Nothobranchius furzeri: one gene and its partner. The protein of the gene in region 2 interacts with the protein of the main gene of each other region in a biochemical or structural test. Links are inferred from orthologs where the notes say so. Each region holds a gene or a part of one and is shown on either strand. Other genes may lie near its edges. The genes, in order: skap1 and fyb1b.

Evidence for each region.
Region 1: the proteins of fyb1b (region 2) and skap1 form a complex in vitro, tested with the Homo sapiens proteins (2 studies listed by BioGRID and IntAct, with this or other methods). The link is inferred for Nothobranchius furzeri from reciprocal best matches to the Homo sapiens genes FYB1 and SKAP1.

Annotation. Positions count from the first base shown.
Region 1 is NC_091756.1:50,182,216-50,194,705, reverse strand, and holds the start of skap1 (src kinase-associated phosphoprotein 1), read left to right. Parts: upstream 1-6,294; 5' UTR 6,295-6,450; coding exon 6,451-6,490; intron 6,491-7,365; coding exon 7,366-7,471; intron 7,472-8,756; coding exon 8,757-8,782; intron 8,783-8,880; coding exon 8,881-8,982; intron 8,983-12,490. UniProt on the Homo sapiens protein: Positively regulates T-cell receptor signaling by enhancing the MAP kinase pathway. Required for optimal conjugation between T-cells and antigen-presenting cells by promoting the clustering of integrin ITGAL on the surface of T-cells.
Region 2 is NC_091746.1:50,403,446-50,415,935, reverse strand, and holds the start of fyb1b (FYN-binding protein 1), read left to right. Parts: upstream 1-4,743; 5' UTR 4,744-4,933; coding exon 4,934-4,936; intron 4,937-9,020; coding exon 9,021-9,993; intron 9,994-12,490. UniProt on the Homo sapiens protein: Acts as an adapter protein of the FYN and LCP2 signaling cascades in T-cells. May play a role in linking T-cell signaling to remodeling of the actin cytoskeleton. Modulates the expression of IL2. Involved in platelet activation.

The DNA of each region.
Region 1 (12,490 bases), on a different chromosome or scaffold from region 2:
CATGTAAGAGAAGAAAGGGTTAAAATATGCACTCGCTTTCAGATTAGAGGAGGAAAATGGGTGAGAGGAATTAGAAAAAGAGCAGCAATCGATCCCTGAAAATTAAATGGCAACAATCCTGCTGACAGAATATAATTCTAGTGATTTTTTTTAATAAAGCACATTTTCAATGTTCAAACGCCTTCAGTGTCACAACGTAATGCTTTGCTTTGTTAGCGACAAGATGAAAGAGAGTATTTCTTGTTTCCAGGCTGCTGGTTGAACAAAGAACGACACATAATGACATTGTTTTTTGTTTTGTTTTGCTTTCAGCTCCATGATGTCTGTTGATTAGATCATGGAAAAAGGAGCATCTCTTCTTGATCCCTTTCATTTACTTTTCTATATTAAAATAATATTTTTGTGGAGTCTTCCTCATGCTCAAATCAAAATTGAGTTGCATTTTGTAGATAAAGTGAAAAATACCAGGTGTTTGCTTGATTAAGAATCATTATTGCAAGTTGTGTTTATTGTTTGCAACAAAATGTTCAATCGGATAAAACCTGAATAATATTCAGCATGCAATCATTAGTAGGCCATGTCCGTCATGAATAATATCAATCACTTTTCACAACCATCATCAGTAAGACATTGTTCAGAGATGCTGTAACGAAATGAATGTCACACACTTCTCCTTTGTTTTGGCACCAAGCCTCCTTACAGCCCAGCTAGGGGGGCTCGTGACAACCATCCCCCATCTGAGTCAGGCTCAATTGGATCTGGAAGCAGCAGCTGACCCAAAGCTCCAGTCTCCTGGAACTCCCCCCTTCCCTTGCGACTGGATCTTTTCCCCACTCCATCAGCATAGTAACTGAGAGAGACAAGTGACTTGGCCAGGGTTAACGTCTTAACCCTTTGATGCATAATGGTCACTACAGTGGACAGGTACTCAAAATTGTTATTTATTTATTTTTGCTATAAGCACAGCTGTTGAAGACTTTATTGCATGTGAGCCCCTCCATTTGGACTTCAGTAAGTCAAGCCAAAATATTTCATGGTCAGAATGCACGCTGTCCACCAAGGTGGATATGTAATAAATTATTTGTAAATTAACAAAATGTTACAAAAAATATTTGTTGAAATTTGTTTAATTTACACCTAAAGATGAATGAAAAAAATTGTTTAAAAAATCATGGTTGAAGATTTCATAATTCATGCATCAGAGGGTTAATACTCCCCGGGATTGCCTCCAGGATCCAAATGGCTAGCCCCAATAGTTTTCCTCCTCTGTGCACCTGTCAGACCACTATGAGTGCACACCATTACAAAAAATAAAAACAAGAGCAGCTGAGGAGCCGCTAACGAAGCGGCACAATGAAATAATGAGGGGTGGTGAGAAGGAATGGTGCTCTCCTGTAATGTTTGGGGTGAGGAAAAGGGATACTCTGCACGGAGAAGCTGAAATGAAACCAGCTCCTTCCTTTGGAGCCCAGGAGGGGAAACCAGAACTCAATCAGTGTCACGTCACATGGTTCAAAGCGACCAATTCGATGCTGCCAGGAGGTTGAGAAATGCAAGGTGACAGTTCATTTTACCAGTGACAGTGTGTCGGTCTCGCTTGCTGGTTCCCCAGTCAATTTCCAGCGAGCGGTGAAGGTTGCTGGAGACAGACAGCAGCTACACCTCCTCCTCCTCCTCCTCTTCTCCTTCATACCACCACCGCTCTCTCATCGACCCCGCTCTGCTTTGTATTCCAATTAACTGGACAGGGGTAGAGGCAGCAGGATCACAGGCAAGATGTAGACGCATTCCTCTGGCATTTTCCCAGTCTCTCAATACCGATAGTGCTTGGCTTCCCTTTTCCTCTCTTCTCGGATTATTACAAGGCCAGTTGTTCCTGGGGAATAATTCACAGTCCTCTCTCCCTCCAGGGACAGTGAAAAATAGGCCCCTCTCACACATTCATACATCACATGTAATTGAGGCACCTAATCACTCAGTCACTGCTGGAACTTCTGTCCTTAACAGACACCTCAAATAATGCTGAATTAATATTTTGAAATGGCTCATATATTCTAACATAATACAATTTGAATGATTTTCCATTCGGTGCTTTCAGGGCTAACATTGATCTGAGCTGAGGTAACTCTTTGAGGCAGACTGAAGGTTGTGCGTTCAGATTTGCTCCTCTGTCGTTTCGCCTCCTCAGTCTTTCATCGCTTTTCTATACTGTCACCACCGAAGCACCCGCCCCTCCTTCCTGCACTCACATATGTTTGAGCAATGGGTGGTTTGGGAATACAATGATTCAGAGGAAATCCGAAAAGTAAACTGCCTCTTTTTATCTCCTCGAGCAGCACAAACATTTGCAGCTTAAGAGTCAGACCAAACACCCTTTTTTAAACATATTTAAATTGGGATCAGATTTGAGCAACAACTTGAGATGTTTGCAAAAGGTTTCACAAATAATGAGATTGAATTAAAGTTTATCCAACAAAGTTTCTTTTTTTTAGATGAAGTCAAATACAGGTTTAAAGACATGCATGCTTTATTTGTCCCTTTAAAATGTGCAAACCTCACGGCCTATCTGGAGAATGCAGTGTGTGCCTGTTTGCAGGACAGGATGCACACACACACACTGTGCCCTGAGGAACCTCCTGACTCTCTCCTGATGCTATCAGATCAGAGAGACCTGCCGTCCTTCCCCACACTGCAATGCAAATAAAAAGGAATGTGCTGATAAAAGGCCAGATCCTGGAGATGAGAGGGCAGGAGGAGGACAGAGGTAGCAAATGCTTCAAGGGGGGAGAGCCTCTTGGGGAGATGAGAGGAGAATGAGGAGTCAGTGTTGGTAGTAGTGGTAGATCACAGCCTTGCTCCCCCTCAGTGGCGTTTGATACAGGGCTTTTGTCGCTCTTTCAGAGGTGCATTGTTGGGTGGTGTAATCCCCGTCGGATTACAAAGAGCCTCCCTTTCCACATGGGGGGGCTGTCTCAGCAGGCAGGTGGCTGGGGGTCTGTGGAGCTGTCAAGGGGAGGGGACCTCTTTTCCAGGGGATGGGACCCCAGTTCCTCTTACCTTCACAGGGGCTTTTAGCTGGGAGGCCAGTCAGGCACAGGTCAGCGTGGGGACAATCCTGATGTGGGACTCAACTCAGCCTGACCCTGTGGATTCCTGTTGGGAGGTGACAAGGAAGGAGGCCTTCAAGTGACAGCTTCCTACCTTAAAAATCATTAAAAGTAAAACAAAACAACAACAATGAAAAAAAAAATTCAGAAAGTTGAGTAGTCCTACTACCGTCAGTGGTGGATTTAGCAATTTGGGGGCCCAAGGCAAACACAGACATGGGGCCCCCTTAAACTAAATTTCGGCAATCTTACTTTTAACTGGATTTACGAAACTCTCCCCTCTTCTGCCATGAGTTATTTTCCCTTTTTATTAGTCCTCCTCTTTTTGCCTGTCTTTCCCTCCCTTTGAGTGCTTTCAATATTTGCTCTGCTTTCTTCTTCCAGTCAGTGCTCCTGTGCTTTAGCCTTTTTTAATTTATTTTTAATTTTGGTCTATGTTTTCCTCCCTTTAAACATTTTCTATTGTCTTTCCTTTTCTGCTTCCTTTTGATGTTTACATTGAAAAACGATGTAACTTTTGGAAGTGAGGATAAAAGTGTTTTTAAAGCAAGCTGCTTCTTTCTCTTATTGGAGCTACTAGGATAATTCCATTTCATGCTTAATGTTTTGACTACCGCTTCAAGTTTGTTACGAATGCTCCCGCCTCTCTTCTTTCTCTTCTTCTTATTTGTGGTCTCATGGCACTTGGCACATGACAATTTGGTGCATTACTGCCACCAACTGGATTGGAGTGGAATGACTACCAATCGCTTCCTGTTTGTGCATCGGCATCTTAAAGGAATAGTCCATTGTGGCATAAACTGGGGTGCTGGCGGTCAGGGCTAGGAGCCCCCCCAACATAAGGGGGTCCCAGGCGGCTGCTGACCTATGCCTAATGGTAAAACTGCCACTGACTACCATACAAAATGCAAAACGAGCACTACTTCTACAAAATTTAAGACAATAAATTATTTGTGAAACATTTCAGCTGCTTGTGTCTTTCGACAACCTTTAATTTAAAACAAAATACATTATTAATGCATTTTAGAGCAACAACCACCAAAAATTGCAACGGTCTAACAAAGCTTGATAAATATTGTCCACATCAGCAGATTGAGATTTAGTTACTCAATTGCTTTCCTTTCCTGTGTTTCAGTAATACAGGATCAATAAGACAATAGCAGGAGCCACCAGTATTTCTTTATGTGCTGCATCTGCTGCCACTGTCTCTTCTGCAAGGGTCAATTGTGTGTGTAAAAGCCCAGTCCAGTTCAATCCATTGCTGTTCACTCTCTACTGGTAATCTGAACCATCCATCCACACCCTGTCAGATGTAGTGAGGGACCAATTTAGTGGCGCTGAATTCATGTGCCGGCTGAAATATTCTTGTTAGTTTTTTCTGCTTATCCTGAACATTTATGGGAGATTTAAACAGTAAAGTGAGAATTTCTGAAACACATTTCAACGAGATGTGCTGAAGACAACATTGTTTATTTGATTTAAAATTCAGTCGTTGCATCTTAAATTAAGTGTAGTTGTTTATTGGCTGCTAAAACCATCCAGACATGTATTTATCTTTAAACACAAGAAAGAATTATTAGACTGCATGTTTATCAACATTGAAGTACAGCATTACCCTGTTTATTTGTGCTTACATGTACTTGAAAGAAGCCACTTCACAAATCTGACATGTACAGTAAAATAAAACAAACAAACAATAATTGTTGTTTTTCACCTTATTGGTCGGCATGTTGATAAGAGACAGTGTATTGCAAAGCTTTATTGGTTAACTTAAATTCATAATGTTCAAGCAAAAACTCTGTAAAGCCTGATTTACAATTACAACAACTGCATCAAAATGTTTGCTGAGGGTACTTGAATGCATCTTCCTCCTGCTAGACTGACATCGCAAAAACACACTTAGCTAGCCCGTCAAGTTAGCCTCTGACCAAACTTTATGAGGTAAGATAATTGTGTTCAAGTCCAAGTTTTAAGTCCAAATCGTTCCTTATTAATCGAAGGCTAAGACAAATTAGATTTTTAATACATTTACACAGTGACCTTTATCACGAGTATGACGGTGCCAAGGTTAATTTCCGGTTTAACCATGCTAGCTTATGCTAACTAGCTAGCTACAAACACATTTTCCTCCTAATTAATTTTTTGCTGAAAATATAAATAATTTTTCGATAGAAATGCCAAACTGCAAAATATAGTTGAAAGTTTCTGGTTTGCTTTTCATTTACACATGTGGTAAAATGATAAGTGCATATTGTTCTGCTTCATCATTACATTGTGATGGTTTCATTATATAAAGCTAACATGACAAACTGACATTCTATAGTAATCTAATTTTATTACAAATTTATTGCATTTGCAACAGTCAACTCACCTGTATCTAGCCTCGATGGGCTTTGGATTTGTTGCTAAATGCTTTGAGATGACCTGTGTTGTGAATTGGTTCTTTCTTAATAAACTAAATCCAAAAAGGAAAAAAATGTCAAGTTTGTGGTTAAACTTCAAAGTTGAAAATTATTGGCAAATGGTTAGCGAATAGACTGTAATATAAAGGTGTTCCACTGAGGTGTTATATTTAATTAGGTGGTTTAATCAACAATACAAATGAACATTACCACAGTTTTTGGGGAATCTGCAGTGATCTCTGTATGAGGCCAAAAGACAACATATAGAGATCCTCAGGCCCATCAGTAGTACTGCATTAAAACACACATTTCTGAAATGGGTTCACACATTTTGAAAGCAATCTTCAGTGAACACACATCATTGCCAAGTGAATGCTGATTTCTTCCATGCAAGAACGATCATCTGTCTTATCACCTACCAACATCTGTGTCGTCTGTGTGGATAACCCGTGCTTTTTATGGAACAACATATACTTCCTTTTAGAGAACCGTTTTTAGAGGGTGGTTTCGATGACTTCCTGTACATAACACAACAGCAGGGCTCATTGTAGAAATAGATTTTATCGTTTGATTTGAACATGAAAGCACCCATACACATTTAGCACACTGAGCAGCTTTGCAGCATTGTGAGTCAGAGGTGTGAGCCAGGCTTTGGTGTGTTTCAAATAAGAAACCAGACTGCAGAGGAAGTTGTCATCTGTGCATCTGCTCCACCCCAATTGCAAATCTAGAGCGGAAGTAAAGTTTCAGTTGTAAGGGGTTGGATGGTTTGCCTGCCTGCCTGTAGATTTTTTTAGTGTGTGCCAGGCTTTCTTTCCTGTCATGGAGCTGTAGCAGAGTCTGGATGCATTAAAGCTGTTTGAGGGTAAAATTTTTTTATCAAGATTTAAGTGAGCAGAAAAGGCTGTTCCGACTTATTGTTGAGCAGGTGAAAGCCAAGAATGGGTGCCATCCCGAAAGAAGTCAAGAGGCTCTTGGATGGTAACATCTTTGTTTTATACTCAATCTTTCATCAAAACTACCAAGTTTCACTTTAAAATGTTATTATTTAAAGCAAAAGAGCTTTTTATATACAATATGATGAGGCAGAACTGTCTCAGTCAAATGACTATTATAAAACATTTCTACACTGACATTGAAGGGAAAGTAGAGTGACTTTCTAAAATAATTGTCTGGTTTACAGAAGTAAACTCTGGAACATATAAAGTTTTATATCCCACCTCCTCATTTCAGACGTCATGTACAGTCAAATGGTTTCCTTCGTTGTGGCACCTTATCATTTGATCACATTTGCATGTGCTGCCGAACCACTGGAAAAAAACAAACCTGTTTGCGTGTGTCGGTTTATTTGTGTAATAAGGGAACATAAAGAAACTGAATCGGATAAGTGATGTGGACCAACCTGTTTATTTTTTTCATTATCACATTTATTTGTGGTTTTAGTTCAGTAGGATCTTGAAATAAAATGTTCTTCCTTTTTGTTGGTTCCAGTTTTCTCACCTATTGTTCAAGTCATAGAAAAATGTAGCTGTTTATGTTTGGGAAAGTTGTGCAGCAGTGAACGTAGCAGGCAAAAATGAAGAATTTAATCATCCTGACAGAAAGAACAAACACATTAGGATGGCTGCTTTCTTTTTAATTAAATTATTTGGACATTTTTGTTGGTTTAAGTATAAAATAACGTAATTTTATGTATAAAACTGTAAACCGTCATTCAAAATGTCAATTGTAACAAACACAAAGCATGAAAGGTAGTTGTGTGAAGGCAATGTATGCAGTTGTGTTATTCCTCTGTAGCTTCTGATTATGAACTGTTTCCACTAAAATCTAACACTTATTCATATTTTTGTTTTTAGATTGTGAATTATTCATATCAGACATCCTTCAAGAGGAAGAACTGAGTGAAAACTCTCAAGAGACACGGAAAGTCCTCCTGAGCAACTTCTGGGTCATTTTTAGAAAGTAGGTTTTTTAATCTTGAATCTACAGACTCTTTACTGCTGAAGTGTGACGATGTAACCTTACAGCCTCCTCATTAAACATTTTGTTATTAACACAAAAGAAAAAACCTTAACTGTAATTGCTTTACATACGGTGTGTAATTTGCTTTAGAAAGAGCTCATTTCATCTAATGGCCCCAATTTAAAGACTTCCTTCTTGCTTTTATTTTTTATTATTATTTAAGGAATTTTTCATGGTGTTTTTTATAAACCTTACATACCTGCCAGTGTCACGTTACACAGCTATTGGAAATCCATGCAGCAGCTGACCCCTGCACACTCCAGAGGCACTACATTTTATTGCTGCTGCTCATATCTAGGCTCGTAAATTATAATTCCATGTAAACACGTAATGTGAAGTTGATGGTTTAGGAAATGCTACTAAAACAGCAGTGAATTTAGAAGATTGGGTTGTTTCATAGATTAGCGCTAACCTTAGCGCTAACCTTGGGACAGCAGTAGCTCAACAGGATGAGGGGGTTGTCCAGTAATCGGAAGGTTGCAGGTTCAATCCTGGCTCTGGACAGAGAATTCTGCTGTTGTGTCCTTGGGCAAGACACTTAACCCATCTTGCCTGCTGGTGGTGGTCGGAGGGACTGATGGCACCTGTGCTCGGCAGCCTCTGTCAGAGCGCCCCAGGGCAGCTGTGGCTACATCGTAGCTCATCATCACCATCAGTGTGTGAATGAGTGTGTGAATGGATGAATGATACACTGTAGTGTAAAGCACTTTGGAGTCCTTACCCTGAGAGGCGCTATACAAGTGCGGGTCATTTATCATTTATCATCATTTAGATCTAGGCTAGCTATTAGCTCATTAGACCTGAGGTGTGTAAGCCTTTTCTCTGAACTGATTCAGTTTAAGAACCCATCTACAGATCCAATTTCTACACAGAAGCAGACCTCTACATGGCTGAAATAAACTTTAACATTTTTAAAAGATCTTCTGGAAAACTCTTGTTTTACTCTAATCATGCATTTTAAGGTGATTTAAAGAACTGTATTTGAAACCAGAAAGTGAAACTCTTGCCTGTAGTCTGCTTGCTCTGTCCGGATGTTGTGGTGCCTGCAAAACATGTATGCCGACATGAGCTGTGTTACAGAAAACCTGTGGTTTTGTGGCTCTTTGTGCAGGAAACAATTATTACATTTTAGAAGCAATCTTGTAGCAAAAAAAAAAAAAGAAAGCAAAGAAAACGCTTCAGGTCGGTGCAAACGATTTACCTTTTTTGTGTTTCACTTTTCTAGATTTCCTCATGACTTTGCCTCACGATGTGAGTAAATATCAAAAAGTATCATGTACTGGTGCCTATGTACCAACTCATTGTCCCTTCTTTATGTTTTTATTTCACACACTTGAATAAAAACTCAGTGGATCTCAGAGAAGACGACGGTTCTGATGATAACCGCAGCTCCAGTCTGGGTCGTTCTGCTCACTCTGACACATCAGACTACCAGGATGAAGTCCCTGAGTGTAAGTTATCAACAATCCTGTTTTGGATCCCGCTCTGTGATTTCTACATGTCTGTAATTGCAGAATTTTTGCACAATGCAGAGATCTGAGCTCAAAATGGTCTAATTGCTGTGTAGCAATGGCTTTTTATTACTCCCCAATAACATACAATTCTAGCAGCAAACCACAGTCCAGCAGAATAAATGTAAGCCTCGGTAACGACATCCTGGAAAATATTAGGAACACGCGTTTACACTGAAAGGCTAAGTTCTGTATTAACAAAGGAAATGATGAAGAGGAGGCGTCAGCGCCACAGAAGGCAATGCCAAACTCCTCTGAGAAAACTACAGTTTTAGCACATTCACAAAGCTTCGCCTCACCACAGGAAGAGCAGGTGGATCCTTTTGTTATATTGTAGCACACCCTCTAATTAAATATAAAAAAAAAACAACAGATCACATCTGTGAATTTTACCTCCCTGCTGGCCTCCTACCTCCCTGTCCGGTGACATCAGCGGCTCCTCCTCCTCTTCCCTCCTGGACTTTCAGGTACCTTGGTGCTGGAAATATGCTGCTGGTGGGTCTCAGAGACCTGAATGGTGACCTATAGCTCCCTCCAGTGGCAGATTCGCCAGCAGGTTTCTGATCTCTGAGGGACGTGTGTGGATGGTGGGAGGAGAGGAGGAAGCCCACACAGAGAGGAGAGAGGAGGCTTTGTAGCTGCAGGCTAATGCAATGATTTATTGACCCTGAGCTCCTCTATTCTTTCGCAACTGGGTTTGAAATACAACACTGTACCTGAGGGGCCATGTGTGTTCCATTCCTCTCTCCCTTTATCATTCTTTCTTTCTATCTTCCTCTTTTTGCCTCCCTCCCATTCAGACTTTTAGTATTTCTGACTCTAATAGCCCTTGACGTGACATGCCGCAGGTGGGCGTTATGGACTGTGCAGCCTCAGGTGCCCATCTCTGCTGTTTCTGTAGCTGTTCTCATGAGATAAAGCAGGACGCAAGTTGGAATTTCTCACTACAAAAAAGGGAATATTTTCAGTCTTTTTAGGATACTGACGGTTAATGCCAGCTGGAAAAAGTCAAGCATAGAAGTGGCTTAATGAGCTTCATCTCTGCTCTCAGAAAAAAACACTGCTGCTTGTTTCTACTAGTTCAAAAAAAAAAACATCAAAGCAGATGGTGTGAGAATAGACCACAGTTACAGAAGACAATTATTTGATTTTTTTTTTTATTTCAGTGTGAATAAGAAGAGATTTCCTTTGGGAAACATTCAAAATCGAACCATAAAACGCTTAAAATGTCCCCTTAAGGCTTATGGATAACACTGGTAAATGGTGTCGCTGTGGAAGTGATTGTTTTTAACGCGTGCACACACACACACACACACACACACACACACACACACACACACACACACACACACACACACACACACACACACACACACACACACACACACACACACACGCGAAAATCCAAATTAGCTGCACAAACTGTAACATATATTTTTTTCTTAAGTTTTCCTTTTAATGATTATTTTTTTAAACGATAAACAACCAGATTGATGTTATTGTTTGATAAATAATCAAAACATTTGATGGGAGGAAACACCTTGCAGCACTGAGGCTGTTTTGTGTCTGCAGCTTTGTCGGCGTAGCGACAGGTCTGTCCTGACTAAAAGGGCATGTTGAGTTCAGAGTTCATCCAGTGTTCACTGCCAGCTGAAAGAAACGACTCGCATGTTTCTGCTGGGCGGATCTGTTTCAGAGGATGGGGGGGGGGTGTCAGTGGAAAATAATGGCTTCAGTTCTTAATGAAATCAGAGACATTTTTTGGAGGAGCAGCTATCCACGACACAATCTGGGGGTTCTTTAATATTTAAAAAACCTTTTTATGGCAGAAATCTTATTTTGAAAATTTATTTCGTGATTGAGAGGTTTGTTGGAAAAAGAACAGAGTAGAAAATGTATTGTCTTTGATGTTTGATTGCGTCTCTCTTTATGTGAGTCTACTGTACACAATAGAGACTTTGTGACTTGGAGAATGTATGAGCCGTGGTAATCGACCGCCTGCCTTCGCTGCACTGCCTTCTCTAACCAGTGAGTGAGTGAGTGTGAAGTCGATGGCTGCTTTTACTCGCAGGAGGAGCCTGCGCCGTTTGATTAGATGCGGTGGCCTGTTGTCTTCGGCGGGCTGGGTGACACCATATTTGTAATGGCTGAAAGGAACAGATGGAGCCTCCTTTGTTAGCCAGGGTGTCTGCATGGTAATGTGAACTGAGTTTCACCCGCCGACCGCACCGGTGACCTGACCGCGCCTGTAGCCTCATACACCCCAACTCCCTCTGCCTCGCTCGTAGCAGCCGCTCTGTGGGGACTAGCTCCCATTTTAAGGAATTTCCATTCCACCATCATTCCAGTACATTATGCATACATAAACAAATACAGGCACAAATTTCTCCCTCTGGCGTGAAAACGCTCTACAACGCACGTGCTCGCCCTCACGCAGACACAAATAGACCCCGGGAGACAGCTGGAGATGTGGGGCTTTTAGCCCCGTCATGCTGTTTGCAGGTCAAGTGTACGAAGTTGAAATGGCCTGTTTGTTTTTCTTTGATTGGGGAGCTCTGCTGGGCGCTCGCGGATGTTTGCTGCTGCAGCGGTGACAGAGCACTGCAGGAGGAGCTTTGTTCCAGGAGTCATGCAGGAAAAAAAAAAGATGGTTTTGATATGATACAAGTGCCTTGAGTGTGATGCACCATTTATTTGTATTACTCAGGTGTGGCTGTTTAAAAATAAATGATCTTAAAACTCTTGTTTTCAGGCCCTTTTGAGCTAAAAATAATCTGAATTAGATTGCTGTTTAAACCCTAAACATTTAGTTTACACATTTATTAAAGGTCTGCAACACTTTTAGCTATTTATGTTAATGTTTGCAGATTTATTTTGTGTAATTTAAAAAAATGTATATTTCTTTAACGTGCATGGAAACACAAACTGTCCAATCAGGATGCAAATTTTCAAAAGTTTCAAGGTTAACGTTGGAGAAATTGGACAAAGAAAATCCTGTTCTTTCAGGACAAATGCTAGAACTAGAAGCCAATTATTCACATTCACTTAAATATTTAAGATTTCGTTTTCTCTCTGTGGACTGGTTGATTAATAAAGTAATACTTTCAGCTCCAAAGGAACGTTTGTCCACGTGTACCAGCCAAGAATGGGACTCCTGTCAGCGATGGCTTTGCTGGTCCAATTTCCTAAACCAATTACTGGCGTCAGTATGCAGTTGGACAACCAATTTGAAGTTATGTCTCACTGTTGCCTATTCCTCATTTGAATATGAGGGGCCAATGCACAGTAACAACATTATTACACAGTGCCTGTAAATAGAATATTAAATCTAAATTCTGTCATTTTGGCTAAAGCTTGGAAAAGCCATTTAAGGTGGCATGTGTTTAAGGTGGCGTGTGTGTGTGCGCCTGGGCCCGTTGGCTGGTAATGCTGGGAGAGAGAAAAAAAC
Region 2 (12,490 bases):
AATAACATTTTAAAGTTTACAGTTTTGTGAGAAAGTATTTATCTCCTCACAGGCGTCTTTTTTCCCCGTTTTTGTCACATTTAAAAATTTCAGATCAACAAATAAAAAAATAAAGAAGACAAAATGCATTTTATATTTACTCAGGTTTTAACAGATAATTAAGTGTTTCTTAATCTGAAACATTCAAGTCAAACAAAACAATCTAAAAATCTTTTTAAGGTGGTATTATTTTCACATAACTTCATGCTTTGTGTGCTCTTTTAACCCTTCAGGTATTCGCCACTTTGCCATGTTAAAATTGACTGGAAATGGAGAAAAAGCATCAGGGACTGTCGAGTTACTCCCAATAAATGGTACGTAACCCTTTTACAGAACTGTGCAAGTGCACAAGTCAATATTGCTACCCAAAATAGAGATATTTTTCACAATATTGTGACTAAAAATTATACAATAATTTCATAATCATAAGCTGTGGCAAACTTTTGTTTCTTCATCAGCTTTCACTGTGTGTCATTTCCTTTTCCAGGTCGTAGTCAGAGTGAGGTAGAGCCATTATCACGCGACATGGTGAACAACCTGAGAGAACAGCTCAAAATCAGTAAGGACTACTTCAGTTTGGTGGTTGTGGGAAAAGACGGTGATGTCAAGGCATGGTTCCCATCCCCCCTGTGGTCCCTGGATAACATCTATGACCTGGTGGACTCTATGGAGCTTCGCGTCCAGGAGGCAAAGCTCCAGAAGAGACTAGGGATCAGCTGCCCTGAGACTGGAGGAGGAAGAGGTGGAGGCAGCGAAGAAGGGCGCTATCCTGGATATGACGAAGAAGAGGCAGAAAAGATGTACATGTAGTGGAAAGAAATAAGTAAACCATACAGGAACAACTGAAATAAACACGTGTGACTCAGAGGAAAGAGTTTATTAAAACAACATAAGTAGAGTTGATGCCACAACTAGAAGGATGGATATTCTCTAAATTAGCAAGAAATAGAAAAATCAGCTCTAAATAGTGAAACACTTCCCCACATATGTACATGAAAAAAATTTATAATTGTCAAATAAACAAATGATCCTGCCTTTAACTGTTTTTAATTTAGAAGAGAAAATTTCACATGAATTCTCCCCAAAACAAACAAAAATAAACCTTCACAATTCTTCAGAGTTGCTGAAATGTTTAGAGCGGCAGGCCAGACATAGTTAGAGTTAGACACTTGTTGGAAATTTTAAAGTATGGTTCACTTGTTAAATTATTACATTAGCAGTGGTCTCAAGGAATGAATGTCTTGTAAGTCGTACTCTGAGGTAAAAAAGGCCAGATGGACTTGTTTCGGGACCTAGCAGAATGCCACATCAGAGGAGAGCAGAACACAGCAAGACTTGGAGTCTTTCCCAATATTTGGACATCTTGACTCTGATTGGCTAACAGCAACATGACTCTACCACTGACTCAGTTTTTTTTTGCAACGTTGATGTTTTATCTCCACAAATAACACAAGCCTTGAGAAGTTCTGCTGTGTGGTAGAATTGCTTTTGCTAATGGTTAGCTTCTACTAGCCGAAATGTTGTGTCTGCTGTTGCCTGGATGCTAAACCAACAACAGCCTTCCCCATCTTGAGTCAAGATGGGTGAGTCCATGAATGTTAACTGACAATGTGACAAAGATCTGTCAGGATTTTTTGAACCAAGTGTTTTTCTGTCTATTTTCTATCAGAAGCTAATGCAGCAGATAGGTGTAGGATACTGTTATGTTCAGCCTGCATAAAAAACTCAGAATGGCTGATTATAATCAGAAATAATATTTAAAAATGTTTTTTTCAGTGACCCATACCGTTAAAATAGTGAAACACGTCCTCACATATGTTAATGAAAATATCTTATCTTTAATTGTCAAATAAAGAAATTATCTTCTCTTTTGTTATTTTTATTTAAAGGAGAAAATCTCACATAAATGTTCTCTCTAAAAAAAACATCCTCAGTTTTTCATAGATTACTGCTGAAATATTTAGAGTGGCAGGCTAATCAGACATTAGAGTTAGGAATTGGGTGAAAATTAATTTTGGTAACACTTAACAATAAGGATCTCTTTATTAAAGTGACTTAGGTCATTGCTAAGCAATAATAAACTATTTAATAAAGTATTAAGAACTGCTTATGAAATGCATTACTAAGTAGACACCCCGTCCTTAAGGACACCTAATAGTTAAAATAATGGTTATGTTAATAAAGGGACCATTAATGTAAAGTTCATATGTGTGTGTGTGTGTGTGTATGTATATATATATATATATACATATATATATATATATATATATATATATATATATATATATATATATGGTCTTTCAAACTGGAACAGCTGCAGAATGTAAAACCTTTGTAGTTATTTTGAATAATAAGGAACATAATATATATATATATATATATATATATATATATATATATATATATATATATATATATATACATACATATATATATACAGTATATATATATACACACCATTTAGCTGTCATATATTTAAAAATGTCAAATTTCAAGTTGAAAGGAATATTTAGATTTGGCGATGATGAGAAAGATTAGTGAAAAAGGGCAAGTTTGTGAACTGGAAACACAGGATTTGATAGTAAACAGATACAAATATTACACACTGGGCCTTTAAGGTAACACAATGAGATTTAACCTTCTGCTTGCTGGAGCAACTCCAGAGACTGTGCTGGCCTCTATGTTATAGTCAGAATGCTGGCTGGGTATTTATTTTTACATATTCATAAAGTCAACATTTGAAGCTTCAGCAGTTATTATTTACAGTCTCAAAATGTGAGGAATTTCCATAACCTGTAGACTGCACTTAACTGGGTCCAGTTTCATCATAGAACAAGAAGCATGTGGTTAAATCTCATTAGAATAGATCATCTTAAAAAGTTAATTTAAGGTCACCTAGGCTGTGTTTGTTGCATAAGGTGGTTTGAGTTTAAAGACAATCATCTTCTTATGCTGACAAATTGTATGTGAGTTTTCTGTGGAAAGCAAGAATGCTTCCAAGTGATCATGAAGTTTTTGTTAGAGAATGAAAATCTTACTTGTTTACAATAAATACGTGTTAATCTGACCAGCCCTCCACACAACAAAATGTACTTTATTTGCCTCTAGTTTAACTGATTCTGTGAAGAATGTGAAAAGTGGGATCTGGAAAGTTTTGAAGCCAGTTCACAAAGGAGGCTCTAAGCTGAGCAAAAGCAAGACTGAGGTAACAAAAAATAAGTCAAAAACCTGAATTTAGAACAGCACACAAAGACAAATCTCTGACCCGATCGTCCAACGGAGTACAACTCGAAGTGTGTCAAACATGTGAAGTGAACAAGACCTTGATCGCAATCTAGCAGAGATGAAAGGAAACTGTTCTGAAGTGGAAACCCAACAACAAACAGGTAAGTGGAGATGAACAAAGACAGAAGTAAAACTAATTCAAAGTAAACAGGAAGAGTATTGGCCACTAAATAAATCAGGAAGTTTGAAAGGTCAGAACGCATGGCAACAAATTAGGGCCGCACTAACAGAACAGTAGCCTGGCAAGCCGTCCTCTAGTCTGGCCACGACCCATTCAACCCACCCAGTGGTGGGGCAAAATCTATGGTTGCCTGTCAAACAGTCTCTGCACAAAACTGGACAGCGCTATGACAAATCAGAGCAACAAACAATGTGGCATACTCATGGTAGACCTGCTGAAGCTACGATTGAGCGTGGCTAGGCCGACCTGCTGAGCTAAATCTTTTGCTACCGCAATGCTTGGTCTAGATTTCTAGGCAGATTTCTAAACACTATAAAAACTAGGAATAAAATGCGGCTGCAGTTTGCGACTTAAATTTAAATGACAAAAGACAATAAACCAAAACTAACAGCATTCAAAATAGTCCAGGATTCAAATTACAAAGAACTCCCGTCACAGAAGGATGGATTACCAAAATAAATAGCTATCAACTACTTGTGTGTAAATTTGCATCATGTTGCGCCTCCAAAAGACTCCTGGTCCCACCGAGAGAATCCTATTGCACACCACAGCCTTCTCTTTCTCACAGGCAAAAAACATCCATGTTTATATTTCTGATGTAAAACAGCAACCTGTGTTAGAAATAAAAAGGATTATTTAAACATTGAGGAAGAAAGTCTGAAAGCAACAAAGAACGAGTAGAACAAATCATCTTTGACCGCTATGTTGAACCAAATTCTGTCTATGTTTAGCAATAATGTTTTTGTTATTGTTATAATTTTGTATTATCGTTTTTTTTACTTTTGCATTATTATTTTCTCACCTCGTGCACTGGACAGGAAGTGGTCAGACTGCTGCACAGCTGCAGGTAACTGGTAACTTTGTTCTGTGACATTTATGGCCAGACTGTATGATACTGTCTTCTAAAGAGACAGATTTTCTCTCATGTGACATTCTGGATGGAAAAACATGTCATACAATAGGATTCAATGGAACAGTCGATGGTGTTGTTGCTTTTTTTTAAAAATGTGCCAAAGGGTGGCCTGCAGGGAGTTTGCAGCAGATAGGCAAATCCATAAGATCTAACCCAAGAGATAACAGAGGCAGCCTCACACCACACACACACACACACACACACACACACACACACACACACACACACACACACACACACACAAAGACACTCATTACTTAGAGAGGAAGTGTTCAGTTATAGACAAATGCTTATGTCACAACCAGAGCAGCTGAAGTCCCCCCAAACACACACACACACACACACTCACACTCACATCCACACCCTGAGTCAGATGCTTGGTGTCTCTCTCTCTCTGAACTTCAGTGCCGCTCTCACTCGGCCAGCAGCAGAAACTCACACTGAGACTCAGAACAAACACAATTCACCACTCGGTCCTCGGATCGCTCCACTCTGAGAGGACTGTTGCTGCAGAGATGGTGAGTACAACTTCATAACTGGTTACAACTTTAATTCAGTCACCTTCGTGATCCATGCATCTCTTTAAAGGGGATTTGATAAATTGCCAGTTCATCAGAAATAAGTTTTTCTTTGCGAGACTGTTGGGAAGTCTTATTGTTGTGCAAACTAGCGTTGTTTTGTTTGATTGGTTGTTTGAGTGATTTGATGAACAATTTCTAAGTTATTCTTATTAAAATCCCATCTTATCATGATTTTCTTGTACATTTGTTTATATGTAGACTTTAAAAAGGTTATGTCATGATGAAATCATCTAAAGTCACAGCTTTTATTAGCAGGGCATCTTGTCCTTCACCTTTTCTCTCTTATTTTTGAGCAAAGGTGTTTCAGTGAGCTTTCTCAGCATTTTATTCGACTTTAACTGTAATTAGACCTAAAAATGTTCTGTTTGCAAAAATAAATAAATAAAGATGATCTAATAATTCAGGTATTCCTAACCATGACAGCTGTGTCTTTAGAAGCTCTTGCACTAGTGCATGCTGGGAGGGAATTCCAGTATGTGACAAAATTTAGGGCTTTACAAAATTGCAACTGCTGTGCAGCTGCAAGAATTTTGTACAGAATATTAAGCAATTTTGTTACCTCTCCGTGACTGAGAAACAGAAGTACTAAGAGGAAACTTTCCTCTCTGTGTGCATTCTTCTTTTTTCATAAATATTTTTAGTCACATCTGAGGGCTGGTGTTGAAACACTTCAGCTCTGTGGGATGTTACTGGCAGTGACACTGACGTGATATTCCCCTATAAATACTTTTAGCTGGTAACACAATCTCCTAAGATAAACTTTCTCTGAGACCACAAAGGTGACTGAGATAAAGGCGTCAAAGCTAATCTAACTACTCATCCAATACAGAAGGTTTCAAATGAGTGAGTCATATAGTAAACCGGCTCTTCTACAGCTTACAAATGATCAGTTGAATGTTAACAGATAAATAACCTGTATTAAATGTGTTCTTTATAGTATTAAAGTTTATTACACACCAGATTGTGTACGAGGAATCATCAAAGATGGTTTCTACATTACGATAGTTGGAATTTTTTTCATTTTTGAGATTAGGTTTGAGAAGGCCATTCAGGAAATCAAGTAAAATACCACAGTCTCAGTAAAGCCCCAAAATAAGGTTTCTAATTTAAATAACATTGAGCAGTTTTCTGCTCCTCTGCCCTACTGTTTGAAAGGGAATTACAACGGTCGTAAACAACCCTGCTGTAGTTAGTGCTAACAACGAGCTAACGCTAACATGAGCCAACTAATACTAAAATAAACCACAAAGTAAAAGAATTCACATTGTTGGACAAAAAATATTATTACTTACAAGTCCAGCAGCAACAAAGCCAGGTCACTATCAGTCCATGATTTTGTAGCCTCCTTTAGCTCCCTCAAGGTCGTGCCGATATTCACTCTGGTTTTAGCTCTTTGCTTCGCCTCCAAAGACATTGCTGTCTTACTTTTAGGCCCAGGCTCCACCTGTCAACAGAAAAAGCAAACATTTTCTTTTTCTTCTTCTTGTGCTTTTTATCGGTGATTAGCAAACTCAAAATGCTAACCACTAGCATTACAGCTAACAGCCACAAAGCAGGTAAAAAAAAACTTCCCTCAGGACATCTACCTGCTCCACAAAACTATTACATGTAGTTTTTGGTCTGCAGAGCACTGCAGAGTGGTGTCAAACATAAAACCAGTCAAATTTCTAACACAACAATCACTGAGATCAATGTTAAAGTTCTAGTTTAAAAAGTTTTTGTTACTTTGGTATTTTCCATCACCTTTGAGTACAGCAAAATGTTATTGAATGAAAACATTCAAAAAATTTAAATGCCACTTGAACACCAATATTCATACTGACTTTAAAAGCTAATTACTTTAAATGCCATTAGTTTCCTGTTCACCGTTACACTTCACCCCCTGCTGTGTATTTTAGTCCTCCTCTCTTTTTACTGCTGTGGAGCAGGAACAGGAGAAACTGAGCTTTTATCTCCACTTCCTGGTGAAGTTTCTGCCCCAGCCAAACCAGCCTTTAGAATAGGTGCGGCTGCTGCTTTGTCTGTCTGTTTGGAAGCTGTTGCCAGCTTGAAAACATCCTGATAGGTCAGTGACCTTGTTCATATGACAAACTGTCATTTGAACAGTCAATTCTGAAGAGCTCCATGGCCTTTTTGGTTCAGTCCTACAGTCAGTGTAAACGTTAACCTGTTTTCTGTGTCGCTGAGAGGGTCTGCTTGAACTTAAGATAGAAATGTGTTTGATAGTCAACCCTCCTCCAGCACTGCAAATATTTAGTTTTGGCACATTTAGCTAATTTGCAACATTATGTGGCTAACTGCACTGACCCAGGCAAACCAGGAAGTTGGTGCAAACTGTAGTTTGAGAAGTAGATGTTATTTTTTCCTTGTGTAACTGTAACAACCTGCAATAAAGAAGAAAAACATTATATATCATCTGGTTGACTTAAAATGTCCTTCTGTTTGATGTCCTTTGTGACCAGATAAAAAGCAAAAACATATCTTTTGTCATACTTTTCAGCAGAGCGTCTTCTCTGTCATGTATGCTTTAAAACATTTTAAAAGCACTGATTAACTGCACACTAGAACCCATGGTTACTGATGTTTGTGAGTCTGTGTATGAGAATAATGTTTAAACGATGCATAAAATTATTGCATGTTTACATACGTTGCATAACTAGTGACATCATCACGAAAATGTTATAAATGCCAGTGTTACTAAACTCTATGACTAGTTTTGGTTCTTATTTGCACATAATGCATCAGAATCTTCCAGTCCACACTCACTAAACACTTTATTAGAAACACCTTCCTAGTACAAGGTTGGACCTCCTTTTTCTTCTTTTCACTGCTTTAATTTTTCATGTCAGATTCAACAAGATGTTGTAAACATTCCTGAGGTTCTGGTCCATGTTGGCATGATAACATTTCACAGTTCCATCCATGATGAGAATCTCTCTCTTTGAGAGGTGCTATATAAAATATCTTCTACTTCTTCTTCTTCTTCTTCTTCTTCTTCTTCTTCTAAAAGTTCGACTGGACAGAGATCTGCAGATTGTGGAGGTCATTAGGGTCGAGTGAACTCATCGTCATGTTCTAGAAACCTGCTATGATCTGAGCTTTGTAGCATGGTGCATTATCCTGCTGGAAGTAGCCATCAGAAGATGGGTTCATGTGATCATAAAGGGATGGACCTGTGAACTCAACAAAGCATTTTCATCCACACAGCTGCTGATCCTGATTCTTTTCAAATCATCTCTAAGAGACATTTTAGAGTCTCAAATTAAACTGAACACACATGTTTTGGATGTGGAGAGCACCCACTCACACATGAGGAGAACATGCTAACTCCCCTGCAAAAAGGCTGTTGCCAGGCTTTGAACCTGCAACCTTCTAACTGGGAAGCAAAGTTTCTTCTTCATTCTACTGATCAGTTTGACTTTCAGCAAGTCATCTCCAACAGCTCTAGGTGCTGGCAGCATTGCCTTACTCCCTTGTGATTGGCTGATTAGCTGTTTGTGTTTAAAAGCAACAGAACAGACGTGACAAAGAGTCTGGCGAGGGTAGCGTACAGATGTTGATTGACTGTTTGTGTTTCTGTGTCTTGACCCTGTTGACAGCTGAACATTTTCAAACTCAAACATGTGGTTTGAACTGTTTGAGTCACAAACAGACACGAGCAGCTGCTTTGAACATTTTGAGTGATCTAGAGAGGCAGGAAAAAAACTGATTGTTAAAAAGATTTCTAATAAAAAATGCATGAAAAAACAGCTTGAAAGCAGTAAAAACTATAGCGTGAGAGGAAATATGCTAATGTTTGAGTGTTTCAACTTTCTGTTCCTATTTTGTTGTTATTTGAAGTGTCTGAACATCTTTTTTGTGTTCATTCCCATTTTCCCTTGCCCTTCAGTTTTGCTTTCTTTTTGTCTTAAGATCAAGCCAAGACCAGTTTTAGTTTTCCTCTGATTTACTGTTTGTGACATTTTAAACTATTTTGAATCAGTCTTCCTCTGATTGTTTTTTTTCTCTCTCAATCTTATAGGATAGCAAAGCTGATGTAAAGGCAATGAGGGCTCGTTTCCAAGCGGGTGGGGCGAGCACTGAAGACACTTCCTCTACATCTCTTGGACGCCCAAAACAACCCGTGCAATCCACTCTCTCTGGTCCAACCGCCCAGCGTAAGCCTGTTTCAGGGAGCCTATCAGGGGGTTTACCTCCCAAACCATCTACTTTGAAAGCCACACCATCCAGTAAAAATGACACAGACATCACTGAACCAAACAAAATTAAAGCCATGGCTAACAGGTTTGGCCCCTCCCAAGATGAGTCCTTGTCCCCCAACAAAGCTGTTATTACTAATAAACTGCAGTCAACCTTGAAGCCAACTTTTCCCCAAACTCCTGATGCCAAAGGCTATGCACAGAAATCTCCTCTGAACAAACCCAGTTCTGAAATCAAACCCGTGCTCCCAAAGCCTCCAGGGGTACCAACATCCAAGCCCAGTTGGATGAAAGAGGACACCAATGGGGTTACAGCCTCAAACACCACCACCAACCAGCCCATATTACCAAACTTGCAACAAAAACCAATCAGCAACGTCCGAAAAATGTGGCAGCAGAGTGAAGACCAGGGAGATGCAAACGCAGAGACAGCGAACAAACCTCCGCCTCAAGTAAATGTTTCTTCTAAGCCGACCTCGAACTTCAAATCTGCTCAGAATATGTTCAACAAGGAGAAAGACATGTCTGAGTCGACAGAGAGCAGCATGGCCAGCAAACGGCCCTTTGCTGCTAGCAGCACTTTCCCTCCTCCTGCTCCTCCGGCCAGTAAAAAGCCAAGCATTAAAAAGCCAACGAAGTTTCCTCCTCAGGCCAATGGGACAAACGACGAGGCTGGACCAAAGCGTAACCCACTCCCTAACAGCTTAGCGTTGGGTCCCGCTCCTGCTAAACCAAACCGTCCTCCCAAAGTAGAACTGGAGCACTTTAAACACGGTGCCGAGGCCTCTGAGAATGGTAAGTAAGATAGAAATGTTTTTTTTTCTTCTTGTGAGCACAAAACAAACAAGGCAAAAACCCTTGAGCACAGAAGTTATTAATTGCCAGCCCCTAAAAGGGTAAAGTCACACTTTCGTGTTCCTCAAAAACACGGGATAGACACAAATAACCTACCTTATCAACTTCTTGCAGCATGCTTCAAACTGCATGTCGAATTCTTAGAGTAACATAATGTAACCAATTCATGCAGACTTTGTGTTCTTCAGGGTTATGCTGGATTGTTTAAACAACTTAAGTTTTCATTAACATCTTAGAAATTCTGCTTTTTTCTTCATAATGTGCAATGTAAAACAAATGAATGCCAAGCACCTATGGTATAAAGTGAAGAGGCTGAGTCGTTTGGCTTTTTATTGCAGTTGTCATGTTGGGTGGCAATTTCTTGACTCACAACATGCAGAATCAATTCTCGGAAACAGGTAAGTGAAAAAAAGGTTTTATTTTAAAACGAGAAACTAAGAGGAGTAACAGGGAACAGAAGAAGCTCTGCGGTGGTCGCAGGATTCCAGGGCAAGATTCTGAGGAGGGAAACAAGAGTGAATATCCGGTGGGAATAATTGGAGAATTTGTAGTTAGGCGGGAGCTTACTCTTTTCCGGCAGAGACAAAATGTATGGGGAGGGGTTGGTCTGGCCCGGGTGAGCTGCGGAGATCCAGAAGGCGATGAAAAACTGTTCATCCAGAGATGAGGTAGGAGCGGAGGTTGGTGAGGGCAGGTGAGCAGCTGAGAGCGGGCGGCCAGGGGAGGAGACAGCGTGATCTGGGTTGCAGGAGTCCGAGCTGGTTATGGAGATGGTGGAGTGTGGAGCGAAACCGGAGAGGAGCAGGGAAGAGTAGTCAGGGCTTTTCTGGCGGCAGATTTTCCAGCAAAATTCACAGGATCTAGTAAGTACACGGGAACTAGCAAAAACACAGGATCGAGACAGGTTAGAGGCTAGAGCTACCCAAACAGAGTAATCATCCGGCGTGGTGTAGTGTCACACTGCTTCTTAAATCCCCTGGGCCTTGATGACAGGATCAGCTGCAGCTGGTAGCTCTCAGACACGCCCACCTGCAGACAAGGCTCGGAGAAAAACAGGGTTACAGACAGGCAGCTCACCATGGACCATGACAGCAGTATTTAGAATTAAGCCAAACAACCCAGACAAAAATAAATGCTGCACTTTCAATAAACAAATCAGAACATTAGCGTTTAGGTTGTTAATCCTAGGACCGATGCCATCGTTTGCAGCTCCTGTTTTTTTTTTAGCAACCATTAAACAAACACATTAGTAGACAGCAATTAGTAAACTCAGACTTTCGTTTTACATTAGATAGAATAGAATAGAATAGAATAGAATAGAATAGCTTACTGATGAAACACGGGGGAAACTCACTTGTTACAGCACTTAGAGAATAATTTGAAGATAAATAACAAAGGTACATGTATGTACACATGGGCAGTAAACTAGTATTGTAACCTTCAACCACTAAAAACCATGAATAAAAACAAAAAACGTGGGTTCCAGAACTATGTAGCATACTGTAAGGGACACAGACATACTATGTAAATCCGGTATTGCACAGGTATTCAGCGTGTACTGAGTATTGCATTGATGTTATTGTGTAACAGGATAATGCCAGTACCAGTTAAACTGAGGAGCTGAACATTCTTGCTGCAGAGGGGATGAATGACCTACGGTAGTGTTCTTTTTAAATCTGGGATGTCTCAGTCTGCCTCTGAAGGAGCTGTCCATGGTCTCCACAGTGGAATGCAGAGGGTGGGAGTTTTTTTTTTAGGTCATCTTCCCTGGCATCCTCCTTTCACACGTCTCCTCAACTGAATCTAGTGGACAGGCCAGAACGGAGCTAGCTTTCTGAACTAACTTGTTTAGTCTCTTCCTGTCTCAGTCAGAGCTGCCTGCATCACAAAGACATCACAACAAACCAAATAAACAAGTATTATTTTACAAGAGTGGGGATAAGATTAAGTCATCTTTCAGAAACAAACTTCTCAAGCTTCTCAGTAAGATAAAAGCTACCATGGAAAATTTGGCTAACAAATTTGCTATAAACATTTTCATGCCTCTTAACAATGTTCTAGCACAGTATAGCTATACATTTATTGTGGAGATTAAAAAAATAATAAATTAATAAAGCTGTTCTCTTGCATTTGTCTAAAAAACCTTTGCCAATAACATGTTTCGAAACAAAAGTAATCATTGGATCATCTAGTTGTTGGGCTTGCCATACTTCCACACTTTCCTGGGTCCTCCATTCATTACGCACACATGTATTTAACAACAGAACACCACTGGTGTGAGGGGTTCGCCGCTCAATGAAATCAGAAAAGGAGAAATAGATCAGTGTTTCTTCTGATCTGATCACTGTTGGTCATTCTAGCTTGTACTGCATGTCTAGCTTGTCCAGTGGCTCTCAACGAGGAGTCAGTCAGGTTTCAGTTAAACACTTTTCACTAA